2 linked regions of the Saccharomyces cerevisiae S288C genome follow. The protein of the gene in region 1 interacts with the protein of each later gene in a pairwise test. Each region holds a gene or a part of one and is shown on either strand. Other genes may lie near its edges. The genes, in order: CLP1 and GSP2.

The links.
Region 2: the proteins of CLP1 (region 1) and GSP2 interact in a two-hybrid assay, tested with the Saccharomyces cerevisiae proteins (one study listed by BioGRID).

What each region holds. Positions count from the first base shown.
Region 1 is NC_001147.6:800,470-804,284, reverse strand, and holds CLP1 (cleavage polyadenylation factor subunit CLP1), read left to right. Parts: upstream 1-1,977; coding exon 1,978-3,315; downstream 3,316-3,815. Other genes in the region: TMA16 (Tma16p), read right to left, coding at 82-618; TUM1 (thiosulfate sulfurtransferase), read left to right, coding at 821-1,735; APC5 (anaphase promoting complex subunit 5), read left to right, coding at 3,554-3,815. UniProt on the Saccharomyces cerevisiae protein: Component of the cleavage factor IA (CF IA) complex, which is involved in the endonucleolytic cleavage during polyadenylation-dependent pre-mRNA 3'-end formation. Associates with HRB1/CF IB to form the cleavage factor I (CF I) complex.
Region 2 is NC_001147.6:680,837-684,224, forward strand, and holds GSP2 (Ran GTPase GSP2), read right to left. Parts: upstream 1,271-3,388; coding exon 608-1,270; downstream 1-607. Other genes in the region: YOR186W (uncharacterized protein), read left to right, coding at 2,275-2,709; TUF1 (translation elongation factor Tu), read left to right, coding at 3,194-3,388. UniProt on the Saccharomyces cerevisiae protein: GTP-binding protein involved in nucleocytoplasmic transport. Required for the import of protein into the nucleus and also for RNA export. Not essential for cell viability.

The sequences.
Region 1 (3,815 bases):
TTTTCTTTGCTTTTTCTACTATAATATACATAAAATTATATAAAGAGCATATAAACCATAAAGATTCCTCTGCGACACTTCTTATTCATTTCCTCCAACGACTTGTTCACCTTTATCATTAATTCTGATCAATCTTAGAGTATTCAAAAGGCCAAAAGTGCCATTCCAGTTTCTTAGAAATTCCATATTCTTCGCATCACTCAAGTCTGGACAGAGAAACCCCGCCTTAAATTCTTTTAACTCTTGATCCCTCCTTTGTTGCAGTAGCACTTGTCTATTGCTTGGTGGCCTGTTTGACCTCCTCTTCTTCTTGAGTTCGTCTAATTCCGTATCATCTCTTTCAATAAAACTTTGAATAAACTCTCTTGTGTGGGCGTGATCAAATATTGGTTGCCCTTTGAATGTATCAGAGTTAACTACATCCTGCATAAATTTTACCCGAGCTAGTTCGTGGACTCTTTTGTCTTGATGAAGCTTCTTTTTGGCTGCGATTTTATCTTCACGCATAGTAGCCCTGACCAGCTTTTCATACTTTCTACCCTTCGGATGAACCGTGATATTTTTCCCTTTCTTGGATAAGTTCTTTTGCAACTTAGATAAAGATTTAGTAACCGGCATGATTAGTTTGTCGTGGTAAGTCCTGTTCCGATACTTTTCTTCTTAGAAAGTACCTTTAAAGAGCTCATCTCTCATCTCGTCTATTAAACCATTTTAAAATTTTCGCTCGGGATGTTCAGCTGTGTACAATAATACAGCGTAAGTGCATTCAAACAATGAGGACAAAAGCATAAAGTTGTGAAGAAAATTGCCCATACATTCAATGCCATTATTTGATCTTATTTCTCCAAAAGCGTTTGTTAAGTTAGTGGCCAGTGAGAAGGTTCATAGAATCGTTCCAGTTGATGCAACATGGTACCTACCCAGTTGGAAGCTTGATAATAAAGTGGATTTCTTGACCAAACCACGTATACCAAACTCCATTTTCTTTGATATTGATGCAATCAGTGACAAAAAATCGCCCTATCCACATATGTTCCCTACAAAGAAGGTTTTTGACGACGCTATGAGTAATTTAGGAGTTCAAAAAGATGATATATTAGTGGTTTACGATCGTGTTGGTAACTTTAGCTCCCCTAGATGTGCTTGGACATTAGGAGTGATGGGACATCCTAAGGTGTACTTACTAAATAATTTCAACCAGTACAGAGAGTTTAAGTACCCTCTAGATTCCTCTAAGGTGGCAGCGTTTTCACCCTATCCAAAGAGTCATTATGAGTCCTCAGAAAGTTTCCAAGACAAGGAGATTGTAGACTATGAGGAAATGTTCCAATTGGTAAAGAGTGGGGAACTGGCTAAGAAATTCAATGCTTTCGATGCAAGGTCGCTCGGTAGATTCGAAGGTACAGAACCAGAGCCTCGTTCCGACATTCCATCGGGGCATATTCCAGGTACCCAACCATTACCATATGGAAGTTTACTTGATCCGGAGACCAAAACGTACCCAGAAGCTGGGGAGGCGATACACGCTACTTTGGAAAAGGCATTGAAAGACTTTCATTGCACTTTGGACCCAAGTAAACCAACTATTTGCTCTTGTGGAACTGGCGTTTCAGGAGTCATTATCAAGACAGCATTGGAGCTAGCAGGAGTTCCCAATGTTAGATTATATGATGGATCCTGGACCGAGTGGGTCTTGAAATCCGGGCCCGAGTGGATTGCTGAAAACAGAGATTAATAAGAGAAATATATTCTTGACAAGTCGATTTATTTAGCTACATATATTAATTATCTATCTACTTACTTAAAGGGCGATCTCCCTTTCTTTGTCTTATTTGTGCTCTTCATTGTTATTGCCCGGTAAAATAGAAAATAACAGCAAAAAATAAGACTGCTGGCAAAAATGAGCAGAGACCTTTCTATCGAGGGAAAAGAACAAACTATTAATTCTTTTCGAAATTCCAACACGATTAAACCATCATGGCAAGTCTACCTGGTATTGATGAGCATACTACCTCTGAAGAATTGATAACTGGTGATAACGAATGGCACAAGTTGGTTATTCCCAAGGGCAGTGATTGGCAAATTGATCTTAAAGCAGAGGGAAAACTGATAGTCAAGGTAAACTCGGGCATAGTTGAGATATTTGGCACCGAGTTGGCAGTAGATGATGAGTACACTTTTCAGAACTGGAAGTTTCCCATATACGCTGTCGAAGAAACAGAATTATTATGGAAATGTCCTGATTTAACTACGAATACAATAACTGTCAAGCCTAACCATACTATGAAATATATTTATAATCTACACTTCATGTTGGAGAAGATACGAATGTCTAACTTTGAAGGCCCTCGAGTGGTGATTGTTGGTGGTTCGCAAACCGGGAAGACTTCCCTATCGAGGACACTATGTTCTTACGCTTTGAAATTCAACGCTTACCAACCACTATACATCAATCTTGACCCTCAACAGCCCATTTTTACTGTTCCTGGATGCATATCTGCCACCCCAATATCAGATATACTTGATGCACAACTACCCACTTGGGGTCAGAGTCTCACTAGTGGTGCCACACTACTACATAATAAGCAGCCAATGGTGAAAAATTTTGGCCTGGAAAGGATTAATGAGAACAAAGATCTATACCTTGAGTGTATAAGCCAGTTAGGTCAAGTAGTAGGTCAAAGGTTACATTTGGATCCTCAAGTCAGGAGATCAGGGTGCATTGTCGATACGCCATCAATATCACAACTGGATGAAAATTTGGCTGAACTGCACCATATCATTGAGAAACTCAATGTTAACATTATGCTAGTACTATGTTCTGAAACGGATCCTCTTTGGGAGAAAGTAAAAAAGACATTTGGTCCAGAATTGGGAAATAATAATATTTTTTTCATTCCTAAATTGGATGGTGTATCCGCAGTTGATGATGTATACAAAAGATCCTTGCAGAGGACATCCATAAGAGAGTACTTTTACGGCTCTCTTGATACAGCCTTGAGTCCTTATGCTATTGGTGTTGATTATGAGGATTTAACTATTTGGAAACCTAGCAATGTTTTCGATAACGAGGTCGGTAGGGTGGAACTGTTCCCCGTCACTATAACTCCAAGTAACCTACAGCACGCTATTATAGCCATAACGTTCGCAGAAAGAAGGGCAGATCAGGCAACAGTAATAAAATCGCCTATTTTAGGATTCGCTTTGATTACAGAAGTTAATGAAAAAAGGCGTAAATTAAGGGTTTTACTACCTGTCCCAGGCCGACTTCCCAGCAAGGCGATGATTCTAACTTCATATAGATATTTAGAGTAAGTAAAATTATCTGTTCAAGAGCCTTATATCAAATCCATACAAATATCGTACTGTACTGTCGAAGTATTGTTTGGGTGATTTTTATTTTTAATTTTTCCAACGCTTATATATTAACAATATTGCCAATTTGTGTCTTTGACATTATTTGCGCTAGCTAAAAAACTGCTGCAGTTTCATCGAGGAATATAAAAAACGACGAGAGTTAAAAGGAAAAGGCAAATCAAAACTGATCAGAAAAATGAGTAAGTATGGTCCATTGGGTATTACTAACTTTATTACTCCGTACGATCTATGCATATTAATCCTAATACATGCTCACTGCTCACAAGATAATGGCATATCAGTGCCAACAGCAGTATTTCTTCGGTTAATATCCCCTACTAGACCTTCACTAGAATGGAATCCTCTGCTCAAGGATAATAGTAATTTAAGATCTTCATCTATTGTTCCTCCTCCTGTACTTCCTATTCTAGATAATATAATAAGGATACTGTTAGATG
Region 2 (3,388 bases), 120 kb from region 1:
CAATTAACAACCGAGCGAGGCACAGGGCAAAGAGAATGTGGGTGAGACTGAACTATCTCTCCCAATATATTATACTTTTTTTTGTCGCGTCTACCAATTAAATGAAAACATAATTGGGAATACTTTCCTCTTCTTATATTTTATCTTAACTCGTTTCCGATCTTCTGATATTCTATTTGTATATGAATAAGAACATTATTGTAATCGAAAGAAGTATCTCTTTTCAAGAGGATTACTTTTCATTGAAAACTTTTGGACGGGCAAAAAAAAAAAAGCGCCAGCAGGAAGAAAAAAGGAATCTAGTAAAAAATAAAAATTAGGTTTATAAAGTAGTAAGTGAAGTGCAAGAGGGAGCGTTATTGGACGATCATATTGTGATCGGATCCCGTTTATTGGTCTTTGATTCAATTTAAAAGAAAAGAAATGTACAGGTTAAACTTCAACATACCAAAAAAAAATTACAATGTGGCAATTAAACAGAGAAGAACTAATTCTTTAAAAATAGACTTTCAGAACTATATATTAAAAATAAAAGAAATTTCAAAAAAAAATTTTTAGATTGATGTGAGAAGAAGCAGAATATTTTCGTATATAAATTTTCATGTTTTTATAAATCAGCATCGTCTTCATCAGGTAATGGTAAAGCAGTGGCTTGGTCCATTTCTTGCTGGTATTGGTGCATTAGTTGCTCGTCAACTTGCACCTCAGGTGGGGCCAATGCAGGAGACGCAACAAACTCCAATTGTGGGTTACCGGCAAGTTTTCTAGCCAACCACAAGAAAGGCTTTTCAAAATTATAATTGGATTTTGCAGAAATGTCATAATATTGTAAGTTCTTTTTTCTATGGAAAGTGATAGTCTTGGCCTTGACCTTTCTCTCTTTGACATCGACTTTATTGCCACATAGCACTATGGGAATATTTTCACACACACGGACTAAGTCTCTATGCCAATTAGGGACGTTCTTGTAAGTGATTCTGGATGTGACATCGAACATAATAATTGCACATTGAGCATTGATGTAATAACCATCCCTTAACCCGCCAAATTTTTCTTGGCCTGCGGTATCCCAGACATCGAACTTAATTTCACCGAAATTAGTATAAAAAGATAGAGGATGAACTTCTACTCCGATAGTTGCAATGTATTTTTTTTCAAATTCACCGGTCAGATGTCTCTTCACAAAGGTAGTCTTACCAGTACCTCCATCACCAACAAGAACTAACTTGAAAGTGGGAACCTCGGCATTGTTTTGAGCAGGTGCTGACATTACGAACTTATATAGGTAGTCACAGGTTTATATCTTTATTGTGCTTAGCCGAACACTTACTTTCTCTCAAATTCCATCAAGAATTATTGTTTATTCCTCCAGAAGAGATCAAGTACCATTTACACTATTTTTTGTATTTAAGGGGTGGCAGAATTCAGGATGCCACATGCGGCTTTTAATGATAGCAAGCTTATACAGCGGAAGACAAAAAAACGGGTAACTGACATTGTATATATTCACCTTGAAAATAAGTGCTAACGCCATGTAAGGGTATGGCCCGCTTAAAGGGCAAGTTCACTCCGCTCAAGATACAAAACTGAAACGATGAAGAAAAAAAGAGCATCTTGACCTCCCGTGACTCATTAAGACCACTTGAGACCACTTGCTCTATGTGTATCAACCTATAAACTGTATATCTTTTGCATTTTGCACCTCCTTAAGGAAAGAAACTCCCTTCGAAAGTATTATTTCCCTGTGGCCCCTTACTTCTCTAATTGACAAGACAGAATTTTCTCGATAATTCCCTGGATAAAGTGTCAGTTTATAGAGTAGATCTCACTTGCCTTTTGACTGCTTCCGCAAGCAGAGGGATCGTAAGTTGTACACACCATTGCCTTGGCTATTACCACCACAATGTCGTGGCAATAGCGGAACCGTGCGGATGTAGCCATTGCTGCAAGCGAAAGCGCGGAGGTTAGCGGCAATGGCGTTCAAAACGGGATGGCTTCTTCGCCAAGTACACGGAATAATATCCAGATAGAAGTATTTTTGTGCGGTAAAGGGTACCACATCTGCAGCAGCGCAATGAAAATTGCGTATCAACAGCAAAAGAAATACTTAAATAGCATGTTTAGCACTTTTGATATAAAAAGGGGCCGCAAATGTTCTGGCGTATTACTGTTTTTTCTTGTCAAATGTGTCACTAAGCAAGCAACTTGTAATCAAGACCTCAATTCAAGGTTAGTTTACTCCTTCTCTCAAATACTACGTAACAGATCTTATTGATGACTTTGGCTTTTACGACCTTCGCTATTTCCAAGATAAACAATTCGTCCACGAATGAAGATTCTAAAGTCATGATACTGTGCGATGAGCATCACCCTTTCGAGAAGGGTTACTTTAAGTCCGCCATACGAGCCTTCGGCAACAGCATTAAGCTAGGATTAATGGGTAACTCGCGACCAGAAGACGCAGCGTCCATATTCCAAGATAAAAATATTCCTCACGATCTGACGACGGAAGAATTCAGGTTGCAGCTGGTCTGTATGGCTTTTTCCTGGTTCATATTTGGTCTCTTCATCGCCTGCTTACTACTTTGTATCACGCTTGTGCTAACATCGCGATATCCTGGAGAAAATGAAAACAAAGCCACGGAAGTTGTGCCATCCAGTAATATTGACGACGAAGAAAAGCAATTATCGCTTTCCGACATGATTTAGTACTACGTGGAAGAAAGGAAAAGAAGCTGCTTTTCTCATTTAAAACATTTAGTTTATATACTTCGCCTCTGGAGGACTTTTCAATTTATGCAATATGTGAGCACTTCTCTATTCTCGATTAGGTCTCTGATATATACATATACATAAACATAAAGCAGTAAGTTGGGTCTATTATACTGACAACCCTGTTACCCGCATTGAAATTGACAGGCTGCCCATTGATTGGTCAGTTTCCCACTAACCCGCGCTGGAGCTGATTTTTCATATTTTTAAGGATTTTGTTTTAGCACCCATCCGACCTCAGTCAATATATCCTTTCGCGACCAGGCTTTCCTCCCTTTTGCTGCTAACTGGTTACAGATTTTCCTATTTTTGGTCATTTTTATCTTTGAAACTGATTAAGCTGAAAAAATTTGAGCTTCTTTGTTGTAAACTATTTTGTGCTTTCAGTTTTATTCTAGCTCGACAAAGGTAACAGACAAAAATGTCAGCTTTATTACCAAGATTACTCACAAGAACAGCTTTTAAAGCTTCTGGGAAACTTCTGAGGCTCTCTTCAGTAATTTCTAGGACCTTTTCTCAAACTACTACTTCCTATGCAGCTGCTTTTGATCGTTCCAAACCGCATGTAAATATAGGTACGATCGGCCATGTTGATCATGGGAAGACAACTTTAACC